Linked DNA regions of Drosophila melanogaster. The protein of the gene in region 2 interacts with the protein of the main gene of each other region in a pairwise test. Each region holds a gene or a part of one and is shown on either strand. Other genes may lie near its edges.

Evidence for each region.
Region 1: the proteins of CG3708 (region 2) and CG7381 interact in a two-hybrid assay, tested with the Drosophila melanogaster proteins (one large-scale study listed by BioGRID).
Region 3: the proteins of CG3708 (region 2) and scny interact in a two-hybrid assay, tested with the Drosophila melanogaster proteins (one large-scale study listed by BioGRID).
Region 4: the proteins of CG3708 (region 2) and CG13124 interact in a two-hybrid assay, tested with the Drosophila melanogaster proteins (one large-scale study listed by BioGRID).

The regions. Positions count from the first base shown.
Region 1 is NT_033777.3:12,967,244-12,974,070, reverse strand, and holds CG7381 (uncharacterized protein), read left to right. Parts: upstream 1-1,943; 5' UTR 1,944-2,002; coding exon 2,003-2,066; intron 2,067-3,252; coding exon 3,253-3,560; intron 3,561-3,630; coding exon 3,631-3,748; intron 3,749-3,822; coding exon 3,823-4,440; intron 4,441-4,530; coding exon 4,531-4,650; intron 4,651-4,720; coding exon 4,721-4,840; intron 4,841-4,903; coding exon 4,904-5,308; intron 5,309-5,377; coding exon 5,378-5,509; intron 5,510-5,573; coding exon 5,574-5,726; intron 5,727-5,787; coding exon 5,788-5,888; 3' UTR 5,889-6,296; downstream 6,297-6,827. Other genes in the region: grsm (granny smith), read left to right, coding at 6,471-6,617, 6,693-6,827.
Region 2 is NC_004354.4:928,298-932,016, reverse strand, and holds CG3708 (uncharacterized protein), read left to right. Parts: upstream 1-1,918; 5' UTR 1,919-2,032; coding exon 2,033-3,121; 3' UTR 3,122-3,219; downstream 3,220-3,719. Other genes in the region: CG3706 (uncharacterized protein), read left to right, coding at 1-989; MED22 (mediator complex subunit 22), read right to left, coding at 3,250-3,467, 3,532-3,633, 3,690-3,719.
Region 3 is NT_037436.4:5,767,106-5,775,034, forward strand, and holds the start of scny (scrawny), read left to right. Parts: upstream 1-1,896; 5' UTR 1,897-2,497; coding exon 2,498-2,828; intron 2,829-4,059; exon of another isoform or gene 4,060-4,205; coding exon of another isoform or gene 4,206-4,266; exon of another isoform or gene 4,267-4,391; coding exon of another isoform or gene 4,392-4,512; coding exon 4,513-5,270; intron 5,271-5,327; coding exon 5,328-6,971; intron 6,972-7,308; coding exon of another isoform or gene 7,309-7,506; exon of another isoform or gene 7,507-7,908; intron 7,909-7,929. Other genes in the region: Ppat-Dpck (bifunctional phosphopantetheine adenylyltransferase - Dephospho-CoA kinase), read right to left, coding at 31-1,028, 1,096-1,654. UniProt on the Drosophila melanogaster protein: Hydrolase that deubiquitinates polyubiquitinated target proteins including imd. Required for preventing the constitutive activation of the imd/NF-kappa-B (Imd) signaling cascade under unchalleneged conditions.
Region 4 is NT_033779.5:9,902,876-9,910,181, reverse strand, and holds CG13124 (uncharacterized protein), read left to right. Parts: upstream 1-1,548; 5' UTR 1,549-1,757; exon of another isoform or gene 1,758-1,874; intron 1,875-2,326; 5' UTR 2,327-2,574; intron 2,575-2,634; 5' UTR 2,635-3,131; intron 3,132-3,738; 5' UTR 3,739-4,008; coding exon 4,009-4,149; intron 4,150-4,210; coding exon 4,211-4,307; intron 4,308-4,890; coding exon 4,891-5,044; intron 5,045-5,098; coding exon of another isoform or gene 5,099-5,129; coding exon 5,130-5,355; intron 5,356-5,423; coding exon 5,424-5,900; intron 5,901-5,965; coding exon 5,966-6,178; intron 6,179-6,240; coding exon 6,241-6,465; 3' UTR 6,466-6,803; downstream 6,804-7,306. Other genes in the region: Etl1, read left to right, coding at 1-258, 317-943; Muc30E (mucin 30E), read left to right, coding at 7,065-7,067, 7,124-7,306.

The DNA.
Region 1 (6,827 bases), on a different chromosome or scaffold from region 2:
ACGCTTAACGTATTTCAATCCATTATATGCATAACCACACCGAAGTCACTGACCAGCTAACCAATACATAGCCATTAATAGGGCGTCATTTATTACATATCGAATGTGGAACTCATTCCCAATTCGACTCCCATAACCATAACCATCCCCATATCCATTCCCAGCTAACTAACGAGCCCCGCAGCGGCATGTGTTCTTGAAATCCACTAATTTAGTTTATTATTAGTATTAGTATATTTGTCGACACCACCGGCGACGTCTGCATTAGTTGATTAAAGATGGACTCGAGATGTTGGCCCAAAGCTGGCAGCATTTCTAATCAATGATACTTTCCAATTATTCAGTGATCCTTTGATGGCCTAAAAAAACACCACTTAACAGTGATAAGCGAAAACAAAAAGGAGAGTGCATTGTGTGTGTGTGTGTGCCATATAGAAACCAGGCGACGAGGATTAAGCCATCAACAGCGAAAGGAGCGTCCCTTTAAGCCAAATGTGAGTAGCGGTAAATCCCAGTCAGAACTTAAATGGGGCACTACAAAGTCGATAATTTCAAAGTGCGTCCTTGCACTTGTACTGAATAACTTTGGGCCATATACATATACAAATCCATATCCGAAATGTATATAAAAAAAAAAAACGGTATGGTGTGTGTAGTTTGGGGTGGAAGGGATATAATTTCTCTTGCACCTGTCGCTGCTCTTTTCACTTCATCGCGTGCGTGGCAAAGCATTTTTATAGCCACAAAATGTCCTTTTACGTTATGTCTCTCAAAAACAGAAACACACACAGGCAGAAGGGAAAAGCGACAAACAATAACAATGCCAGCTAGCGGGAAAATTGAAACGCGGTCAGGAGAAAGCAACAAACAAATAGAGACTTACGCACCATCACAGCCCTTAAAGGCCAATTCATTACGGTGAAAATCTGAAGGAGTTACCATTTCGGATGATTCAAAGCTAATACATTGCAGCTTGCAATGATTAATGCGGCCTGATTAACCGACAGGCCGCGTTAAATTAGCCCCGAAATTAACCCCTTTCACATCGATTGCTTTCCATTTCATTTGTGGACACTTTCAAGGTCGCCTCTTGCGACACTCGTCGCCGACGGCGTTTTGCTATTTTTAAAACATAATTCATATTGAATTATAAATACACTACAATTAGTAATTTACATAGCCGTCAACCGGGGGGAAATCCGAAAACTACGAGGCGCACGCTCAGAAGATAGTAACCAAATTTGGGCACACGTGTAGTTGCCCTTCAAGAAGTAAGACTTGGTAGATGGGTATGAAATAGTCGAAGCTTTTTAAGCATTTTAGAAAATAGTCAGCCTTTCTGCTGAGAAAACTGTATATATGTAAAAGTGATGTATACTAGATACTTAGTTAAATATAAGTGTATGAAAAAAAGGAATACTTAAAAATTTAACAAACAATTACAATGACAGCCTTGATTGTCAATTAAATGAGACAAAAAGTAAACATAATGAGCTATCTGAATGAGTGATTCATTGATTAACTATTTTATTTAGTAACAAAATAGCCATACTGCAGTCTCAGCGTTATCAGCTCAACTCTTGCCAAAAGACCAGATGGGGTTAACGTTTTACTACTACCATTAGACCGAAGAACAGGTGTCCAAAGCAGGTGTTGGACGCTGATAAGCGCCCTCTTGATACCACCGATACCACTCTAAATGGCCGGAGAACCAACTAAGTGGGTAATCACGGTGGCTGCAGCCCTGGCAACCAATTCCGGTGACATTTGGGCTAACTGAAACTGCAGATTGCGATAATTCAAATTAGGATTATCAGGGAAAACCGCCGATTGCCACCGGTTAATCATCGATGTATGAGTGTTTTTTTTTTGTATGGCCGACATAGAGATAAGATTAACCGAAATCGAGCACTCGATATAGACCAATCCCTACTCGAAATGGTCAGTTGCCTTTTGGCCATATTAGCCAGCAGTTCGGGAAAGTAGCTCTCAGCTTGGGAAAATGTCAAACTTCCAATGGTTTCTAACGCTCGGCGTCCTTTGTTGTGCGGTTCTCAGTCCTCAAGGTAACAGAAAAGGAAAAAAATAATAATAAATAGCGAGAGCGAAATGAAAAAAAAAGTCGAGGGAAATCATGTGGCCCAATGTGGCGAGCGATTTCCGGTAATTGAATTAAAGCCACGTTTAATCGGGTGTGAGGCCATCGAAAGGGCAGTTGGCCAAATTAGTGGACAAATAAATGTGGGCCTACGACAGTCATAACATTAAAGAACCACAAGTAATTAATGCAAACGCAATCAAGGTCAAGTACTTTGCCCCATTGACCCCACCACTCAACGAGCAACGCCATCCCCCGGTGGAAAGGACTCTCACGAATGTCCAGGTCCCAAGGTCCTTTGCGGTTTGAGAAATTGTTTTGCCGGCCACGGAAAATGGAAATTAAAGTGGCAAAGCGTCCAGCGAAGTTCACTTTTTTTTTTCTTTTCGGTGGCATTGTTATTGTTATTACAATTTTTCGCGTTCGCATTGTTTGTTGCCGCGTTGATACTGTTTTATATGGAAATTTTTTCGATGCCGCAACCTCATCCGGAAGTCGTTGGCGTATACGTAATAAATTGCGGCCCCGACACGTTGCGTGCCAAAAGAAGCTTTGCACGTCGCGACGCTCGGAATTTTTGCTTATAGTAAAGGGTAGTAGAGTTGCCTTTTGTAAGGGTAATAATCAGCTGGACAGGTAGATAAGTGGGCGTGGCACTGCCTAGATTGACCAGGATGTTTAGCCAATTACAAATTTATCGGATCAAGGAAGAGGTTTAGTAGGGCGATTTTCAAATGTAAATGATAATCAGTTTAAAGCTGGGACAGAAAATGTAACAAATTTTATTTTTAAAAACGAGACAAGAAGATATTGAATATCCACCAATATACATATGTTATAGAACATAATAAATCTAGTTTTCACTTCCAGTTTTTAGTGAGTTCTTTGAACTAGTCTCTATAATATTTTAAGGATTTTGCTGATTGGATTCTATGGTACATAGGTGATTAGGAAAATTGTCCCAACCCATCGAAAGTTAATGAAAATCTCCTTAATCAAGTGTGTGAACTGGAGCCCGTTTTGAATAATTGAGAGTCAGCCGAAAGTGGGTCGCCCCGACACATCCGAATGTGTGGTCACAGGCACCGTGGATACGTTAATTTTTAACCAACCAAACAGGCTGCTGTCCTAACCCATTTCTTAACCAATTTCAGGCGACGGCGGCGTGTTGGCCGTATTTTGGCCATGTGAAACCGAGGCGGACTGCACAGCTGACGGTACTAGCTGCGATTTTGCCAGCGGCCAGTGCGAGTGCTCCACATTCGATACGGTGCTCGCGGAGAACTTCACCCAATGCCTGGCCACGTCGCTCATTGGTGAAAAGTGCGACGACAGCGTCCAGTGCAATCTTATGCCAACGGGGGCCAGTTGTAAAGCCGGGGTCTGCGATTGCGCCGATGGCCAGAACTATCTGCGTGGCAAGTGTCGCCCACTGAACGGACTCGGCGAGTCCTGCGAAACGGTGAGACCACGGCCCAATCAACCGTGCACATATCCTTTATAATTTCGCATGATTTTTCGATTTTAAACAGGACTTGGACTGCTACTTTGGCTACGATCGTGCGTCTGTAAGTTGTCAGCAAAACGTGTGCGGCTGTGCAAATGGCTATTATAACAGATATGGAAACATCTGCCGTCGCAAATCAATGGGTATGTGTTAGTCGAGAAGTTATTGTAAATGGTATATATGGCTCTATATGGCTCTATATATGCCTGATTTTCAGAAGAAAACGATGCCTGCGTCGTTAACGCGGACTGTGATGAACTGGGCGCCGGTGTCGAGTGCGTTGGCCTAGTATGCACCTATGTGGACGAGATCACAACGACTCCGGGTGGCGAGACCGAGGAAACGGAGACCACCAATCCGGGCTCGCCAGAGGATGATGATTCAACCACAGCCGAGGCGATCACCGAGACTGCCGATCCGGAACAGGAGACCGCTTTCAGTAGCCGAAGGCAGCTAACCAAGGCCTTTGTACACGCCCCCCCGCCCACTCACAGCGATGCCGCCGCCCAGGTGTCCTTCGCCCAGCTCACCAATGGCGACACCGAGCCGCTCATCTCGCCCCGATCCCACGAGATTGCCGTCCAGACGAGCATCGAGAAGTACGAGCTGAGGGAGGTGGGACGAAGTGTGCGCAATGCGGCCACCGCCACCACCACAACGACAGCCACCGCCTCCACGAGCACCAGTAGCAGGCGCAACTCCAGCCGCAACCAGAGACACGCCCATGGCCAAAGACGCCGCTTGCCCGCCCTCTTCCGATTCGATGACGAGGATATAAAGACCTACTCCACGCTGGGTTCCAGCCGCGATGACGACGATGCCGATGAGAAGAAGTGTGAGTATCCAAGAATGCCCCCAAAAAAATGAAGTCTCTCAATGCTTAGGCAATCTTAAATATATTTCAACTATTTTTTTTCCCATTTAGATGGCAGCAGCTGCACGGATAATGGAAAGACATGCTCGGGTCTGCCGCACTCGATTTGTTCCAAGAATATTTGCCTATGTCGCCAGGGTTACTATGCCCGCAATGGAAAATGTTTTGCCGGTGAGTAAACTGGGTTTCCCCCAATTTAATTCTTCTATTAATGAAATTAACTGAAATGAAAATTCTTTAGAACTGGGGGAAATTGCGGAGAGCACGGATGAGTGCGAGTACGAGTTCGATCAGTTGACCAAAACTTGCAATTGCCAAAAGAATTATTTCTACGAGCGGGATCTGCGCAATTGCAGAAAACGTAGGTGGTTCCAACGCTAGCTGCTGAATCGCACTTAAGATATATCCTTTTCCATCAAAACAGCCATTCAATACCACTTATCCTGCACCTCGAACAGCCAATGCAGTCCATTTGGCGCCTCCTATTGCCACCCGGAGATTCCGAGGAGGTGCACCTGCGAGGAGTACGCTCTCTACGATGCCATCAAGCAGCTCTGCGAATACAAACGTGGCCTGGGAGCCGAGTGTGAGTCGAACGATGGCTGTCCTGTGGATCACTCCGTCTGCTCCAATCGCGTGTGCGTTTGTGCGGACAACTACTTTGAGAAGGACGATCAGTGTATGCGTGGCATCGGTGCCGACTGCTCGGTGGAGGATGACTGCATACCTGAGAACACCGAATGCCAGGAGAAGGACGAGGAGGATCAGTCGCGCACCTGCCAGTGCCGAAAGGGATACGTGCACTTTAAGGATGAGTGCCTAAAAGAGGGTTAGTACTCAGAAGCTGAAATGCAAAGCAGCAAAATTATGCCCTGCCCCACATTACATTTCATTATAGCCGAGGAGCTGGAGGACGAGTGCGTCGAGGATGAGCAGTGCAAGCCGCTCCTGGCGAGCTGCAATTCGGAGGGCAAGTGTGGATGCAACGATGAGCAGCATGCTAAGAACGGAGTCTGTGAGACGAAGCGAGGTAATTGAGTCGCTAAGCTTTCTTTAATTATTTGTAATAATTCTAATATGTTGCAATCTTGCAGAGCTGGGAGAGTCGTGCACCAAGGCCACCGAGTGCTATGTAGAAAAGGATCCCGAGAATGTCGAGTGCCGCAACTCCGTGTGCCAGTGCAAGCTGGGCTACTCGGCGAACGCCAATCAGAATCAATGCATTCGCGTGATGCCCAATAAGAAAAGTAAGTGTCCTTGCAAAACCAATTGAGTAAGGATGATCTATGAATGTCACGCTTTTCGCAGATTCTTCCGGTAGACCAAGTGCTCTCAAAATCATCACCTTCATGCTGATTGGCTCCGCTTTCCTTATCACCAGTGCGGCCATAAAGCAGGCCTACTACTAGAACCAAACCAAAACCTAAATCCTTTCACCTGCGTGTTTGGGGAATGGCGAGGATAATCGAGGGAGGAGTTGGCCAAGGACCTTGGGGGGATCGGGGTGATTTGGGGATCGGCGGGAGTGGCCAGTATTAGCCAAGTTACTGGCATGGATGCAGGTCCATGCGCAACGTGAATATAAATCAATTAGTTCGTAAGTTGATATTTAGGAGTCGAAGCAATATAAATTTGGAGAAAGGGTCCTCGGAACGGAACGACTCTCGCTTATCTAATACGGCTAAGTGTAATGACAAATTATCTGTAAGTTTTGAAGTTAAACCGCTTGTTGCTAGGCTAAGCGAACAGTTTTTAACCAAATTGTAATATATACATCATAATAAACTAAGGCCAACGAAGAGTTGTGTATCAAATCCAGAAACTGGCAATTATTATTAAACAAGTAGTTTTGAGATTTCACTTCTATCAGTTAGCAACAGCAACTCAACTCAAATTTGTACCTTTCAATTTTTCAAGCTCGAATGTTTTGTACGTAATTCTTAGTTTAGCATCCTAAATTTCAGTACGTTAGTTGAAAAGTATAAGTAGAGATGGCACCGTATCCAAACGGCTTTTTAAGTTACGCGGTGGCTATACATCTTAAATCCCCGCACCTCCAAATGGAGGAGTCACTGCGTCAGGGAGCGGGGTACTGGAATGCATTGAGTTCGCGAGAAAAGAATCAGTATCGATCGAAAGTAAGTTCCTAGGGATTACACACTTTCCCCCTGACCGGCGAACTTTATCTTCTGCCCTTCGTTAATACCCTGCAGTACCAGAAACGGTGTCTCAGCAAAAGCTCCACTTCGCGTCATCGGCGTCAATCGGAGAAACTCAAACATATGGGATGCGGCCGCAAGAAAATAGTGCCCAAGTGTTCCCGAAAGCCCACGACTCCGGCCTGCAAG
Region 2 (3,719 bases):
TCAAGGCGGCACTGTACCTGTGGCTTCCCGAAAGCGGCCTGTTCAGTTCGCCGAATCTGCCCGATATGGTATACTTCACCACCGCGGATGGAGCGGAGAGCAACGCGTTCCAGGGTGGAGGCTTCCACGTCTACCAGGAGGCATCTATGCGTGTGTGGCGGCTCAAGTACTCCGGACTGCTGAAAACTCAAGGGCCGGACGTGCAGGACGTAGCCGTGGACTTGGACCTCCGTTTCGAAAGCTCCTCCGCTGAGCACTTCGACTACAACAGAGATCTGAGCAGCGCCCTGATAGCCGACTCCATAGCCAGAGAGGCCTGGAACGAAAAGTTCTACAGCCTGCTGCGCAGCGTCAACCACATCGTAGAGAAGCGCACCCACTACGAACAGAACGGAGAACTGGCCGGCCAGGTCACGCTCGATGGCAAGGAGCTGGCGCTGAAAATGGTGGGCTTCCGGGACCACAGCTTCGGCACCGAGCGCTGCCTAAGCTCCATCAACCGGTACGTGTACTTTGCCCTCTTTATGGACGATGGCAGCAGCATGGTGGTGGGCAGCCTCAGTCAGCCGTCCTTCTTCCTGTCCTCCCTGAAGGTGGGCTACGTGTGCAGCCCCGAGCGGCAGTATCAGCCGCTGACCGGGAGCAACTTCGAGCTGTACTCGTACGGCGAAAAGGGAACGCCGCCGCAGCACCAGAATTTCATTGTGCGCACCGAGGAGCGGGAGTACCTCGTGCAAATCCAGGTGGAGGCCTCCGCGCTGCGCTACGTCGGCGGCGACTGGGAGTCTAAGGTGTTCAACCAGTTTGTGGCCTGCACGGTCAACGGAGTTCCCGGCCAGGGCCACGCCGAGTTCCTGTACCGCCACAAGGGCGGCAGGCCGGAGGATATATCGTCCGGGGACCCCGGCTGGTACCAGGACATCAAGCGCTTCGAGAGAAGCCTCTCGTTGCTGGAAGAGGAGGGCCAGGACGAAGACTTCATCTTCTAGGACGCCGACGAATTGTTTTTGTTTTCAGTTTAAGATAGCATGTAAAAGTATGGGGGAGACCCATCCTATCAAAATAAAGAGATTTTGTTTGAATGACATTCGAGATTCTGAAGTCATTGGCCGCGCTGATGTCATCGGTAAGTCCAAACTAATTCAGTTAACCAACAATCCAACAGCAATATCCACTGGAGGCCATCCGGTGCAGCTGCAATCTGGTGGACTCGGGTCGATGAGGAAGATTACCGAATCGCTGGTGGAGGAATTGGACCCCCCGTGAGGATTAGTCGCCCATAAATTAGCATGCGACAGACGAACGGATTAGATTGGACAGCTACTTCGGTTTTTCTCCCAATAAATAATGGCGATTCGGGCCATCGGTTTATGGCACCCAAAAGACAACGGGCCCCACTTATCGCTCCGTCGGGCCAATAAAACCCAAGACCAGGCACCAAGACTGGGCCCAAGTGCCCAGGTGTCGCAGATAAGAGGCGAGCGGCGGGGCAGATAGCTTCAATCCAACAAAATAAACCATGCTCGGGATCTGAATGGAGCATTATGCTGCCGTCCGGTTCCGACCTGCCGCAATGTCAGCTTATGGTGGGCCGATAAGTGCCGGGCATGACCCTCCCTTCAGTGTCCAGTCCACAGCCCATATCTGGGCTCATGAGCAGGTAGCTCCGATAACGCAACCGCCGACAGATATTGGCCACCGATTTGCCCGGAATTCGGCAAATCATGCACTGTTTCTGGAATTCGCCTTCATTAATTATGCACGTAACTCTGAAGTGGTATTCCTCGTAGGCGAAATTATTTGTTAGATTACGCAGTTATTGTAATCAAAAATGCGATTGCTTCTGGGCAAATCCAAGGAATCATCAGCCGAATTTTCGTTCCCAGTAGTAGGCCGGTTTCTGTGGAAATCAAGGAACAGCTTTGATCTAGCATAGTAGTTTCCAAGTGCCCAGTCGCAGAGCTGGAATATACTTGTAGATTTATATACATATATGTTGCCAAATTTCGAAGTTATTGCACCGAATTGCACAATGATTGGGATGGCTGACAGCGCGGAGGGGGTTACCCAGGAAGACAGCCACACGGAGTCGAGGGCAGACGGCATCAGCGGGTCCTTGCGCTCCCTGGGCACATATACCCAGGAGTCCACAGAGCCGGCTTTGAGTCCGGCGGACCTTCCCGCCCGCAGCCGGAAGGCCTTTCTGCGGCACATGATCGGCCAGCTGGCGGAGCCCGTGCAGAACCGCATACGGGCACTGCGGCACAATCAGCTGCAACAGGTACGCATTTCGGAGCAGTTCTTCCGGGAAGTCTACGAGCTGGAGCGACGTTTCTACGGCCAGAGCTGCGCGCTCTTCGATGCGAGGCGGGATATTTTGGAGGGTTCGGTGGAGCCACCGATCCAAACGGAGAAGACCTGGCCCGAGGACCCGCAGGATGCTCTGTACCTGGACTTCGGGAACAACGAGGAGCTGCGACAGCTGAGGCAAAAACTGGCTCCGGTTTCGCCGACTACGCTGGGTGTTCCACGCTTTTGGCTGACAGTTTTCCAGAACGTGCCCCTGCTCTCGGAGTTGGTCCAGGATCACGACGAGCCGCTTCTGGAGAGCCTAATGGATGTGCGCCTGGCTTACGACCAGGACAGCTACATGGTCATCTTTCAGTTTCGGCCCAATAGCTTCCTGCACGATTCCTCGCTGCTGCTCACGAAGCGCTACTTTCTGCAGCACTCGGCGGACCCGGAGTATCCCTTTCTGTTCGAAGGGCCCGAAATAGTTCGTTGCGAAGGCTGCCACATCCACTGGCGCGATGGCTCCAATCTCACTCTCCAAACGGTGGAAAGCAGGCGAAGGAACAGAGCACACCGAGTCACCAAGGTCATGCCTCGGGAGTCCTTCTTTCGCTTCTTTGCTCCGCCGCAGGCCTTGGACCTGTCGCTCGCGGATGAAAAGACCAAGCTGATCCTTGGCAACGATTTCGAAGTGGGCTTCCTGCTACGCACCCAAATCGTCCCGAAGGCGGTGCTCTTTTACACGGGCGACCTAGTTGACAGCCTGAGCGCGGCCTCTCCGGACAGTCGCTCCTTGTCCTCGGAGGCGGAACAGGAGCAGGTCTTGTGAGTGCGACGCGACTAGCTGTTTGCTAAACAAAATTTACAAGTGAATGTGGTAATGATTTCTTATTAAATTCTACAGTTCGGCCAAAGCCAGTTCATCACAAATAAGGTGAACCCCTTCCCCTCCTAGCGCTACTTAAAAATGCTGGTGTAGTACTCCTCCTCCAGGTCGTACAAGTCCATGGCCATTTCGTCCCTAAGTTTCATCAGCTTCTTGTCGCACTCGCTCTGTGTGTTCCTGAACAGCTGCGAATTGTTTGTGATGGCCTCGTTGACCGAGTGAAAGTCGTTGAGGATTAGGTACTGTTTTAGGTCGGCCACCAGCTTCATCAGAGACTCGCCGGCACGGACTATAAAGCGGAATGCATGAAGGAAATGGCTCGAATCTGGTTCCCAGGGAGTGGATTTACTCACCCATGTTGGCCGCGCGGACCTGCATTTCCAGGGCATCCTGTTCGCACTGCGTGGTCTTCGAAATCTGGCTGTGGCTCTCACGGCGCGCCAGCTTGAGTATTTCTGGAGGAGAACACGGTATTACAATCTATTGCTCGGAGCAACTGAGCCGCACTTACCTTCAAAATTCTCCAGCATGCTGCGAACGT
Region 3 (7,929 bases), on a different chromosome or scaffold from region 2:
ATCAACAAGATAATCTAAATATCCATCGGGTTAAAGGCTGCTCTGGTAAGAGTCCAGTTCCTTGGTAAGCATTTTCCACGCACGCTCCGCCTGTTTCTGGGTGAATTCGTGATCCCATTGCGAACTGAATATCACATGCGACTTGGCCACGATCTCAGAATTGGGCACCTGACTGGCCAGTCGCTTTTGGGCCTCCACTTCGCTCAACTTGTTGCGCTCAATAATCCGCCGCACAGCCTCATCCGGTGGCACAATCATGGACCACACCTCATGGCAATTGGTCTCCCAGCCCGCTCGCAGCAGCACCGCTGCCTCCAGGACCACCACACGCGGCACGTCCGCCTGGGAACGCAGTGCATCCAGCCGCCTGTTAACCTCCGCAATAAGTTCCGGCCAGACAATGCCGTTGAGTGCTTGCAACTGCTTGGGATCGGCAAACACCAAGGGTCCCAGCTTGGACCGATCGATGCGACCATCGTCTGAAACAATACCCTGTCCGAAGTGCTGCACAATTCGGGTGTAGCACAACTGACCAGGTTCGTAAACATCGTGCGCCACCTTATCGCAGTCGATCACGTGGGCGCCCATGTTGGCCAATCTCTCGCCCATCTTGCTCTTGCCAGATGCGATGCCGCCAGTGAGTCCAATAATGTAAGGGCGCGGCGGGAGCTGTGGTCGTGGCTCCGGCCTTCTCCAGCGGGTTCCCAGCAGATCGATGCGTGTGTTACTCGAGCTGACCTTGGTCTCGTGGATGCCATCATGCACGTTGCTTTCAACAATGTCAATCACAAAGATCTCCAGCTCGCGCAGTTGCTTAGCGGAGCGTACCTCGTTGACCTTCTGCCCTCCTCGCAACGTCTCCGCACTGACCACAATCATGTCCAGGTCAGGATCCACTTGCGTGGGACCAAAGGGATCATCGATGGGCACAATTTCGTACTGCAGCGTATCATCTATGTCCACCAGGAACTCCCTTAGCCGGGCGATGCGCTCTTCCACGGGCAAAATCAAGTCCGGCAGCGTCTTTCCTGCAGACAGCGATAAGAATGGTCGTTAAGATAAGCGTTTTATTTTGCCAATTCATGCCCGTCTTACCCTTCGTCATGGCGGAGGTGGTTACGCCCACAACCAAACGCTTGCAGGTGCGCAGTACAGCCTGGGTGAGGAATATCTTGTGTCCCAGATGGATGCGATCGAATGTTCCGCCCAGGACAACCGAGGGATACACCTTAGGCGGCTGGGTGTCATCCTGCTGGGCACTTAAATCCGAGATGACCGAGTCATCCAGGAAGATTGTTGGCTTGCTGATGTTAAGATCCGCGCGAAGCCTGTCGCACAGCTCCGGATGATGTGCATCCGAGAAGATTAGGTCGACGGGCTGGCGCAACTTCAGGGATCCATTGGCACCTGGTCGTAGGGGAGAGACAAGGACGCGAAGGTCCAACTGCTTGCCCACATAGCTGCTGCTGTTGGCGTACAGCTGCGAGATTAGACGACCCCAAACCGGAGGCGGTGGAACTGGTGACGTCGTGGACGTTGACCCCGCCACATTTAGGTGGATGTACAGTGAATTCACGTACTTCTCGATGGCTCGCAGGGATTTGCCAAGGTGCTTGATGTTGGACACCACCAGGAGACCTGTGGATGAAGCCATTCTGCTCGATTGATTGCGACTAATTATGAAGGCTAGCTCAACAATTGCATCAACATTGTGCCGATGGGTTGTCGTTCCCAATCACACTTATCGATATGTGCTGATAAGGTGTAAAAATACCGTTATAAAAATTAAATTTATAACTTGAATAGTAGGCATAAATAAAAAATGTCGCTGCAAGCCTTTCAATAAGATATTGCTTACATATTCAAGGTAACAAATGTCTTATTAAATTTAAACCAATTTTTTATTGTTAAGAAAACATCGAAATACATTTTTGTAAATATCGTGAAATGCTTTAGGACATTTCGAGAGGCCTATCGCGTCACTTGGCCACTCGCGAGTTGGCATCCCCAAATGACGAAAATGAAGCGAAAAGAGAATCCGCAGTCGGAAGAAACACGAGGGAAGGAATTGCCATTATTTTCGAAAGCAGACTTTTCGTTCTAAAATGCCTGGCCGCGCACGAAATTGAAACAGATCAATTTGTGAGCGAACGTTTCTTAATCGTAATGCTCAGTAGGCCAACAGATCGAGATCGCAGCGCGAAAAAGCCAGAAAAAGAAGAGTGCTCCCGAGTGCGTTAGTGTGCGTGTGTCGGTGTCGCAGTCGGTGTGTGAAACAAGAAGTGTTCGAGAGAGGGGCGAGGAGAAAAGTGAGCGTAGAGCAGTAGGAGAGTTTTGAAGGACGTGTGGGCTGTGCAGAAGGATCTCTAGTATCTGCTTTGGATCGCACGCCCATGTGCATTAGCTAACTGGGTGGCGAAAACCACCAACACACGCCACACCACGCCCCTCACACCCGTTCAAAATTCCACCGCAAATCCCCAGCCGGAGCATCGCCATGCCCGTTTCGATGGCCGTATGCGAAACGGCGAATGTCGTCAACGCAGCGCTGCGCGAATCCCTTGGCGGCAACTCCTCCGCCGGCTCGTCGACTGACCAGGCCAAGAGCGGCGAGGACACCAACGGCAGCCTGCAAAATCACATCGTGGCCAATGCCAAACGCATCCTGATGGCCAAAATCGAATACGAGGAGGTGCCCAACTACCACGAATCGGTGCTGGAGAACCTCAAGTCCAAATATATTGTCATCAAGCCGGGAAATCCAGGCGCCATCAATGGCTTTAGTGGCAAAAACAATACAGGCAAACTTGTGGGCGCAAATGGACATGGTGAGTACACTGTGTAAAGATACAACAAAATGTAAAATCCAAAAGTTGCTTGCAAAAGTGGCTTTTTCCGTCTGCGCCTTCGTCTGTGTTTCTTCTTTGTGTGGCAATTTTTGCGCAATTTTCCATGTGCTATATCTTCATATTATATATATAAGATGTATATATACTTAAATGTATTTATGTATCGTCCCGTTTGTTTTTGCCAAATCTTTTGGGAATATCCCTCCACAAATCACGTGTGATGTTTTTCCGCAAACATATTTTTTTTATTGCTCCGCCTGCATTTTGTCGGCAGTGCAGTCGACGTCGGCAGCGCAGCATACCTGTACTTTTTAGGCGCTTCTGTATGTGAGTGCGTGCGTGTGTGTCCGTGTGTGACGGCGTTTTTGGGTGGTGTACGTGTAAACAGAATGCAAAGGAATACGCGGAAAAAGCAAAACAAGTACAACGCCGTAAAGAGTAAGCTGGAAAAGTGACAGCAGCAGCAGCAACAACAGAGCCGCCTCTTCCAAACTTCTGATTCACAGAAGTTGTGGCGGAAAAAAACGTGCTGTATTTCCAGCGGCAAATGAAAGAAGGAAAAAAAGACAAAAAGCACGAGGGCTCCCCTCCGTAGTTCCGTCTCTTTCCCCCGCACATGGCCAGCCCCAGCGGTGCTTTTATTGGCTTTGCTTTATTTTTTTAGATGCGGTAAATGCGCCGCAATCTGCTTTTGCGTGATAAAAAGAGCACAAACAAAGGCCAGACTCGCAGAAGTGATTCACACAGAGCAGGAAGTGGACACAAAGCTCAGCACCAGGAGCTGTTACACGATGTTTCGACTTTTCTTTTCTTTTCTTTTTTTTGGCCTGGTCAATGCCTCGAACACAGTTACAAAGACAATAAAAGGGGGGAGCATTGGGCCTACAACAACCACTGTTAGGTCGCGCCAAAAATTCAGTTGGCAACACTGCCGCCCCAACCCCCTACGCCAGAACGAGACCACTGTATTCGTCGGCAGCAGACACTTGGACTGCTTCACCACTCGCCATCCCTCTCATTCGCTTGCTGTTATCAGTTTAAATTTCTTCTTCTGCCAGTCGCCATCCCGCTCACACGCTAGCTGTTATCAAAGATACAATAGTGCTGGGTAATATCTGAGATATGTGTACCAGGATAAGTACCTCGATTGGTACACTTTCCCAAACAAAACTGCAAGATACATATTCAGGGTACATATGAAATTACGATGCTGTGAAAATATTTTCAGATAAAATCTGGTGATATCACATTCTGTAACGATGTTCAAAGAATTGTATTTCAAAATCTAGTACTGGAAATTTTTTTCGGCGTATACTTTGTGTTCAAGTTTCTTTGTTCAATAGAATAGCTATCTTAATGCTGCACAGTCCGGTGCCTAGGTACAACAAATGTGTACCCTTTCCAACACTGCGAACAGGTGATGGAAGCGCGATTGTGTGTCAGCAGTTTCCACAGCGAGCACTGCTCGTTTTATTTATATTTCATAGCAGCGCGGATCAAGTGACTTAATCTGCAGAAGGGAATTCTTCCAATAAATGCATTATGACTGTGATAATGGTGGACGGGTTCGCCCTGTGGCTGCTCTACAAGCTGTTCCTGTCTCCCTGCTGCCTTCTCCTGTGGCACGTGCTTAAACTGTCTACCGTCCTCTTTACCTTTGCAGACAATAACGGCGCCCGCAAGCAAGCGGAGCACCCGAACAATCAGTCGCACCACATCAACCACCACAATCATCAGCATCCGACAAGCAATCCCAATGAGCTGCCCAAGCCGAAGAGGGTCCTCTATCCGCGGGAGAACATACGCATTGGCTGGAAGCAGTCGGAGCGCAAATGGCAGGTGGGCACGGGCATGATCAATGTGGGCAACACCTGCTACCTCAACTCAACGCTTCAGGCGCTCCTGCACATACCCGCCCTGGCCAATTGGCTCGTTTCGGAGCAGGCGCATCTGGCTGACTGCAATGTGGCCGAACCTGGCAGCGGTTGCATCATTTGCGCCATGACCAAAACACTTTTGGCCACCCAAAGCAATCAGTCGGCCGTCAGACCCTTCCTCATCTACTCGAAGCTAAAGCAGATCTGCAAACACATGGTCGTTGGTCGCCAAGAGGATGCGCACGAGTTCCTGCGCTTCCTGGTCGAGGCCATGGAGCGGGCGTATTTGATGCGGTTTCGTAACTACAAAGAGCTGGATCAGTTGGTTAAGGAGACCACGCCGCTGGGACAGATCTTTGGCGGCTATCTGCGCAGCGAGGTGCGCTGTCTGAGCTGCAACCATGTGTCCATTACGTTTCAGCACTTCCAGGATCTGTTGCTCGACATCCGCAAGGCAGACTCCTTGGAGGATGCTTTCGAGGGACACTTTTCTCGCGAACGGCTAGAGGATATGGGCTACAAGTGCGAGGGATGCAAGAAGAAGGTAGGTCTTTGTGACCTTTGTTCTGTAGTTCATTTTATTTAAACGTATCGCTTGCAGGTATCTGCCACAAAGCAATTCTCTTTGGAGCGTGCCCCAATCACGCTTTGTATACAGCTGAAGCGATTCTCCATGATCGGCAACAAACTGACCAAGCAGATTTCCTTCAAGTCACGCATAGATTTGAGCAAATACGCAGCCCGTTCACAAGCAGCTCAGGCTCAACCGCTCACCTATCGCCTGGTGTCGATGGTCACTCACTTGGGGGCGTCCCAGCACTGCGGTCACTACACGGCCATTGGCTCCACGGATACGGGCAGCTTTTACAACTTCGACGACAGCTACGTGCGGCCAATCGCAATGCACAGTGTGTGCAACACAAATGCCTATATAATGTTTTTCGAACTGGACCTCTCACAGGCTGCCAGTCCGGCGGCCAACAGGCCCAATGGAGTGCGTTTGACCAACGGACACAGCACAACGCCAGTGCCGGCGGCGACTGTGTCTTCGCCTTCACCAACGCGTTTCATTGGTCCTCAACTGCCGGCGGGTGGAGCAAACGGTTACACTAATGGAAATGCCCAGAAAACCGCCATCCAGTTCAAGCAACAAAACCAGCAAAGTCCACAGAACGGACTCCAGCTGGGTACCGGAAAGTTTCAGGACACTGCGAAGCCTCCACTGGTTGGCGCTCACGCTAAAGGCGAAGCTACTTCAGCTCCCACTGCAAATGGTAACAAAAGTTCCTCCCCAAGCAGCAACAGCAGCAGCAACCATAAATCAATAAACCAGCAACAATATCTGCCAATTTCCTCGGATGATGAAGACATCGAGGATGAGATGAAGCCCAGACCAACGACAGCCCAGCTACCGAGCATGCCCAATATGACGGAGAATCATACGGAGCCTAAGGCAAAGTCTCCTGTAAAGATTCAAGTAAAGACTCCCGTCAAAACGCCACTGAAAAGTCTTGTGCCCTACGAATCAGCATCTGAGGAGGAGGAGGCGCCTCTACCGAATCCCCGCAAGCGTCCAAGTGGGGAGGATTCTAGCGAGTCGGACCAAGAGTCTGGCCAGACCAATGGTCACAGTAAGACCAATGGCAGCCACACCAACGGCTCAGCCTCGTCATCGGTTCACGTTAACAACAGCAAACAAAAGACTGATGCCATAGACGAGATATTCAAGAGCCTAAAAAAGTCCGCAGACAGTGATGAGGACGACGATGAGGAGGAGCCCAGCATTCAGCTAACGAATGGCTGGCACCCACAGAAGCAATCACAGTCTCAAAGCAAAGCACCACCATCGCCAAAGACGCCACCCTCGCCAGCGGTCATCAAATCGAAAACGGGTATCTGGAAAGTTACGCGTAACGATGAGGTCGATGCCATCGAAGATGATGTTGACGTCGTGGTGGTGGAGGGATCGCCGGTGAAAATTCCGACGCCGAACAAGAACCATCGCAATCCCTTCTCGAGTAGCAAGCCCTCCACGGACTCGCCCGCAACGCCAGGCGCCAAGCGCCAAAAGTTGCTCAACGGCAGTGCGCTCAAGTCGCACCAGCAGCCAAGGGTGGGCAATGGCTACCAGAGCAATGCCACCTCGAATGGGAGCACCATCAATGAGCTGCTGAAGCAATCGTATCGTGGATACGGCTCCCCCGTGCTCAGTTGGAATGGCAAGCCCGCGGAGCTCGAAAAGGAGGTGAGTTTAGAGAGGCATTCACCTTGAAGCGCTTATCTATCCCTTGTGACCATGTCACTAACGTAGATACTAAATCTATGCATGGTTAACACTTTCTTTGGGTCTGTGCTTCAAAAATAACAAGTTGCGGGCTTAATACGATGAAAATGTACATAAATTGGTTCTCTTTTTGCGGGTTTAACTAATTCTTTATTATTTAACTGGCTCTTTGGTCTTCTTTTTTGTTTTCTATGTCGTTCGCTTAGCTGTTGCATAAAATGCAATTCGATTGAGTTGATTTACTAAACGAACTTGTTTGTAATTTGCATTTGTTTCCACATTATCCCCATTCATTTAGACTTTTGAGTTGGTTTGTGCGAAACGGATAGCTGGTCACGGCAGTGTGGAAGGCAGCGATATCGTCGAGGGCTCGGTTGCAGTCGACGCGGCAGTGACTAGTGGCAGTGACAGTAAAGATGTGGTCGTAATTGCAGTGGCGGTAACAGACACGACCGCTGACGCACCCGATCCGGATCGTCTCACGGACGGCCGGTAGGAGGTAGAAGCGTCGGCGGCAGAGGCGACGCTTCTTCTTTTTCCCCACTAAGCACATACCACACAAAACAAATACAAATAATACGATTACCCCGAATAGTCTGTGATGGCTGCGTTGCTGGTATCCGTTCCCAACCGGGCGGTCACCACAACGCGTCCTCCGTTCAGCGAGCGTGAAAAGTGTAGAGAGAGTTGCAAAAGTCATTGCGGGAGAGAGTGACTGCACCGGAGCCTAGGTAATTCACCCGATGACTCCGCATCCGTTTTCCCGTGCAATGAAGCTTATGATTTGACTGCTGGCCGGCACGTTGTTTCTTTCATTTCAACCGCCTGATACGCCATAAATTCAACCGTTGTGCCGTTACCGTTTTGCCTGATAACCTGTTACAGTGAACCGTGAACCGTAAGCCACTCACCCATTTCG
Region 4 (7,306 bases), on a different chromosome or scaffold from region 2:
CTGGTCGATTATTATTCCAATAACAAGGGCGAGGTGTGCAGCAGCAGCGAAAGGGCCGGCATAGCGATCATGATGGAGATGCGCCGCATTGCAAACCATCCGTTGCTGATGCGTCACTACTTCACCGACGCCAATCTACGTGGATTCTCTAAGCGCCTGGCTAATGCCAGTTCCTTTAAAAAGACCAACGAGCAATACATCTTTGAAGAGCTAGCCGTTATGTCAGACTTTCAGGTCTATCAGATGATGAACAAGCATGTAAGTGACTATCAAAGAGGTTGTCCAATGACAATGACTAAATTTGTGCATCTTTCAGGAGTTTTACGACGTGAAAATACCCGATAATTTGATATGCGATTCTGGAAAATTCCTCTACCTGGATACGTTGCTTCCAAAACTGAAGGCAGAAGGACACCGTGTGTTGCTTTTCAGCCAGTTCACCATGATGCTGGACATTGTGGAGGAGTATCTGCGAATACGAAAGTTTGGTTTCTGTCGCCTGGACGGGGCGACCGCCGTAAATGTCCGCCAGGATTTGATCACCGACTTCAATGGGGACGATAGCATCTTTGTGTTCCTACTCTCCACCAAAGCCGGTGGCGTTGGCATCAACCTGACGGCTGCCGACACCTGTGTCATTCACGATATCGACTTCAACCCGTACAACGATAAACAGGCCGAGGATCGGTGTCATCGCATGGGACAGCAGCGTCCGGTGACCATTTACCGTCTCATTTCCGAGAGTACCATCGAGGAGGGCATCCTGATGGCCGCCGAAGAGAAGCTAAAACTAGAAAAGGACATTACTTCCAACGAGAAGGGCGAGGTGCACGAGCAGCGATGTGTGGTCAAGCTGTTGACCACAGCCCTTGGCTTGGACAAGGATCAGGAGGAGCAGCTAAACAATTCACTAAACAACTCCATAGCCTCGCCCGCCAAATAGGCATTCTCGTTGTCCTCGTTCTCGTCCTTGTCCCCACCTCCGTATTTATTCTGCGCGAGCATTTGATCAACTTGGTCTAATCGTCCTACCGCTGTCAAATCCTGTTAACATCGTTTGAATTATTCTAACAATATTGTATTTGTATATTTTTTAAACTTGTATGCAAGGAGAGATTTGGTGTATGGTATGCCAAAAGTGGATCATAAATCGAGTTAGTAATTTTTCACCGTTGAGGCGACATTAGTTTTTCTTCATTAGTAACAGCAACATTTCCACGATAAACCAAGGCAGACAAGTTAATATTCTTGTTTTATTGATTTGTCATCATGATTAGTTTTCATTTCTGTAATTTCTGTTTATGTATCGAATTGAAACTATTGTTATAAGGATAAAGATCATTTTGTGTACGAATGCGATCATGTTCATTTATTTCTACATATTTGCTCTATAGTTCGAGCCGCTCGACAACCCTAAACGGATCGCTCTCGCATTTTCCCACGAGATTCTTTTGGTTGTGTGGTGCAAAGAGAAGCGGAGAATCGCTTTCCAGAGAGCACAACTGTAATGAAGAGCTTTCGGCTGGCGCGGCGATTCATCAAGTCTTTAGTCTTCAACTGATCGCTCGCGCCGATGATTTAATTTTTAAGTTAAAGCCTGCGCCCAGTGTAGCAGCCGGCAGCGTTACTCACATCCATATACATACATACGTGCGAATATACATACATGCTCACATAATACGGCGTACATCGATAAATAGATATACCCCGCAGATATAGTGTCTCGATCGACAGCAACGAACCCATGGAAACCTAAAGTAAAACCAAAATTCCAAGGTTCCATTGTCCCGTAGTTAAATGTGTTTAAATCCAATTACATCCCCGATCCTTTATATTTTGCTCTTACGAATCGGGATTATGTGATTCATGCATAAGTACATACGTTTCCTCCCCGAATACTTTCTTGAATTCTATTTAAAAATAGACAAACTGTTTGCGAGCGGAAATCATATTGTGCCGCGGCGGCGACTAAAACGCTAAATAAATCGGGCCAATAATTTGAAATAGTCTGTTCTTTTTTTTATTTTGTCTTTCTGCCAGCCCGCTGATATTATTGTTTTTGACCAACGGAAACGGAAGCAACGCCAACTGCATATAGGTTTATAGATGTATCTACATAGTGCTGCGATACAGTCATCATTCGCAGCGCTGTCATATACTATAAATATAGATGCGGCGGCACATGTGAGCAGTTTTTGGCAATTGCCAAAGAATACGGCGCACAAGTCGGGTGAAAACAAACAGCGCGTGCAGGCTAAACATGAAGAGTAGTATAGGAAAATATAAATAACAATTAATAATCCCCTCATTTTGGCCGCGCCTGTATGCGTGTAGTGACCGCTTGTATGTGTACGTGTGAGAGTAATCCGAACAATAACTATATTATATACATAAATAGCGAGCGATCTGCATTAAATGAGAGAAAAATCACAATAAAAAGAAAAACGAACGAACACAACAACGCGAACAAAAATTAAGAAACCAAAACGGAATCGGTAATAATTGACGACGAGCAGACAACGAGCCGAGAACAAGCAGCACAAAGCGACAAACCAAAAATAGACGATACCAACGGTGCGTATACTTAACGAGCCACCCGCTCATATCACTCATCTCGCCCTCTCGCTCGCACAGCAGCCACCAGTCATCCGAGCAAAAGCAACAACAATAGGCACTAAAATCAATTGTGATCACAGTGCGTTTGTGTGAGTGCGTATGCGTATGCGTATCTGTGCCTTTTTTTGCATTTGCCGCTGTATCTGCCTGCATCTGTATCTGTGTCTAGAGGCCCGCAATCCATAACCATCTAGTGTATTACCCCATATGCGGACTATTTGGGCGTGGAGGGACGCTTCGAAATATTAATTATTTCTGACACTGTTTACGGCTTGACTTGGCGCATGCCAAGCATGATTAAACGAGACACGAAAGAGCGTATCTACGAAGTAGATAAATATCTTTATACGAACAACTAAGCTGCGGCACCAAGCAACAATCGAATCGACGAATAGCAACAACGCACAAACAAACCCATCTATATATACACTATAGACAGAGATAAACAAAAGCTCAAGCAGCAACAGCAGCAGCAACAACGAAACAATTTGAAGGAAATATTTTTGCACTAAAAGGTGAGTATATCCGTCCATCCGACGCTGATTCATAATACCAGCCTAGCTTATTCCGAGCACTCTGTTTGGCAATCTGAGAATGGGAAGTGTAGAGCAATTAGCGAGGCAAGTTCACATTGCTATGATAGTAGTCACTCTCACAGGGCAGTTAACCTATGTAAGATTCTCTAAGTTCGTTAATTACCACATTTTGACAAGTTCATTGTTTTATTGATATAAGTGGATGGTACATATAAGTAAGAAGAGTCAAAGATTTATTCAAGCCACATTTTGTGATAATAGATGGTAGAGAGGCCTGACTGTACAATGTATCTTTCGTATGTATCTTTCGCGGAGACTCACTTCGGACTTCTTGTGGGCCGCAGAATAAGAATTACTCGGGGGCTGATGTCATGTTCGGAGATGAAGTGCTCTAGCCAGAGGTTCCAAACCAGATGCAACTCCTACGCTCGGCCATAAAGCCGGTTGGTTGCTCGACAAGATCAAGTAGTTTGCGCCTCCCTCTCGCATGTGGGTTAAAGAGTTTTTGTGTATCTTACTTGATATATGTTGACAATAATATAATGCGATATGCTGAAGTATATAATTAATTTTCATTGTATTCCAGACCCGGCAATCTGAATCTGCAAAAGGGGAAGATATCCCTCAACATCGTATTAAGAAGAGAACTCAACTCGATAAAGGAGGAAAGGAAACCAACTATTGTGATATGTACAAATTTACTCAAATACTGAAGCCACACATTTAGACGTTTATTCGACGGAATCCCAGTTGTGAATCGATTAACCGGAGGATAATCTACCAAAGATTAGGCTTTCATCTTCAATTAGGTTTTACCCAAATAGAGCAGAAGCAGTACTCGCGCAAAAATCGCAGGATGGCCGAAAAGGTGGAACTACTGGCCCAGGCCAGCATGAATGGCCAACAGAATGATACGCGGAAGGTGCGCAAATCACCGGAATTTCAGCCCGGCGTTATCTCCCGCGAACGCAGCTTTGTGCGCACCTCAAATCAACAGGTGGGTACACCATATCGATGTCGATTAGCAGCCATATTTATATAATTGTTTGTTCATTCAGAATATCAACAAACGGCGAAGTCTGGCTTTCAACGTACCTGGCAATCAGACGGGACAGATGAGGGGCAAACCAGCCATGGATATCTACAGGCCTCCCAGTGAGTTGTTTTAGTCATTCGTTATAAATTCTCTAATTCGCTTGGGTGCTTGGCAGGGTGCTCGGTGCTAAAGAAGTTAAAGAACTCAATATAATAGAGAATTTTTATATTTCGAGGATATTTAATCGGTATTATTTTAGTGGTGGCTTAGAAATACAAACACATCAAGTGTAGATATATGCATTTGGACGAGAAAGGTACTGAATAATCAAAAACATACATGTACATATAACGATATTTATTATAGGCATATTTTATAGGGACTATTTCCGTTTTTTTTCCAGCTTAGTCCTTAAAAAGTGAGATTGAGCATATTTAAAAATGTAAATATTAAATGTCAATAGTCACATATGTACTTCAGCCAGCCCAGCTTAAGATGCTCTATTCTTTGCTGCCAGCTTATCAGTTCCAATTAATACTTACTGAGACCACATTTTTCTTTTGATTCTTTTCATATCTCTGTCTCATACCCTGTACATTCCGTCCCTCCACACAATGTTGTCCTACCCCCCAACATCATCACATACACTCTTGGGTATACCGACCCTTCCCCAACAATAATCCCCACTTGACTCTGTCTCAGATGTGCGCGGAGAGCTAGCCGCTCCAGCCGGTGGTGTCGGTGGTGATGGTCCGAATGGTGCTATCGGTGGTGTCGCCAACAAGCTGAACGTCAATGCCCAGGAGTTCACAATGACAACCAGCTCCGGGGCACCGGCCGAGGCACTCGGCAACCGGTAATGCAAAGTCTTTTAATTCCATTGTTTACCCCTCTTCCCGTCTCCTTGCAGAGCTAAACTACAGTCTACAACATTCTTCCAGTTCGTCGCTAATACTTCCGCTCACCAATGGACCCGGAGTGGGAGTTGCACCGGGTTTGGGTCCGTACGGAAACGTGAATCGCCGCCAGGCCGGACACTCCCTCGGCAACATGCCGGGCTTGAAGGCCAACCACCGGTCGATCCTGGTGACGTATCCAATCAATACCGGTGCCCTCAGCGGTCAGCTGCCGCTAATGAACTCGCCATCCAGTGGAAATATACTTCACGTGAGCTCTAATTTAAAAATATTGGTAAAAAAAAACAATATTTCAATAAATAAACACCTAAATTCCAGACAACAAATCGTGTAAAGTTTGCACCTGAGCCCCGAGGTCACAAAGTGGCTTCGCATAATCAGTTTGGTCAACTAAACAACAACTATGCTCAGCCTTATCAGGCGAATATTAATGGAGTAGATCCTTACATGAATGGAAATGCACTGCAACGCTCCAAGTCGTTGTCGTCGGCGGATGCCCTTACTCGTGGAATGGCCGGATTGGGACTAGGTTTGGGCAACGAGGTGGCCGACATAGGACAGTTCACGCCAGAGATCCAGGCGCTTATTGACACGGCCCTGGAGGATCCCAATAAACTGAACTCTCGCTGTCTCATGGAACTGACATCGCAGTTCATCAAACGCGCGGTGGAGAGTCGCCGTTTTGCTCTGCCAATATCACGACTGTGTCTGAACATCATTGCCCGGGAGCAGAAGGAAACGTTTCTCGAGGCGCTCCTCAACACATGCCGTCAGTGGTACCAGGAGCGTGAGAAGGTAGGCAATTCAGCATAAATTTCCATGATCATTTCATATTTAAAAATCTTTTACCCCGCATGCAGCTGTTGTTTGCCATCCAGGGCATGAAGTCGCCATCACGTGTCCGATTCACTGCCTTTATGGCCTTCCTTACGGAAATGTTTTGTCAGCTGAAACGTCGGCAGCTCCAGCTACGCACCCACCACGAGGGCACTCCTCCGCCACTGGTACTGCTTAGTCTGCTCTCCAAATGTTGCGGGGATTGCGTGCGTCCACCCATTAGATCACTTTCAGAGGTACGTTTTTGATTGATCAAGTGGTTGGAATAATACATGTGATTACTATTCATAACTTTCAGATTGAGTGCTTGTTTTATGTTTTGACCTGTATTGGCCAGGACATGGAGCAGCAGTTGCCCCAGCAACTGGAGTTACTCATGAGTCTGGTTCGCGATGCCTTTTTGAATGCCGGCGAATCTGCGGCCTCCATTCGGCGCACTCTTCTCCAACTCATCGAGCTGAAGGCCTCCCACTGGCAGCTACCAGGCAATACGGTTCTTTACTACACGCACACTAACAATTAGGAACGAGATCTGGAGCTGGGGACATGGCGGGGATAAGGGCACTGTGCAAGCATCAGGACACCATGAGCAATTGATTCTGTTGTCGCATTGCATTTAGGGCCTGGAAAACTTCTGTTCTATTTATCTTATTGTATTCTTACCTAGACATAAGCAATATTTATTTCGGCAGCAGCTATAGAGAGAAACTAACCCGAGACTTGCACACTACACACCAAGCACAGTACCAAATAAGATCGAACTCTTGGATTCGATATCTTTGGACTGTGCTATAATCTAAGGCTCAACATTTATGTGAATCCATATATTTATGTGTAATAAATCACAGCTAGTCAAACGAGGGTGCAAGTTTATTTTATGCGGGGCACTGCATTATTGGTCATCACAAACAAAAAGACAATAAAACAGTATGCTTCAAATGCATACAAATTTTAAAAACTTATCTTTTTGGTTTTGTAATAATGACTCGCGCTTACCTGTTGAACTTTGTTGAACTACGACCCTGGACGACCTTATCAGCGGCCTGCTATGCCATTTATTCTGCTCCCTATTTAAGCACCAACTAAGGCTCAAAAATCCAGAGTCTTGCTCGACAAGTTGCAATGGTAAGTCGAACATAAGATTAGTAGTTACCTCATACCAATATTGTCCTTAACTATAGGTCGTTCTAAGTTGTTTTATTTGGCTTGCCCTTTATCACTCTGCAAATGCAGCGCTGGAGGGCAGTGAAATTAAGTTTGGGGACGAATCAACTACAGAATCGGCTGAAAAATATCCTGATTACTGCTGGATAAATCCTTTTCTCCCGGGCTGTCCATTTGGTCCGGGTGATGGCAATAATTCG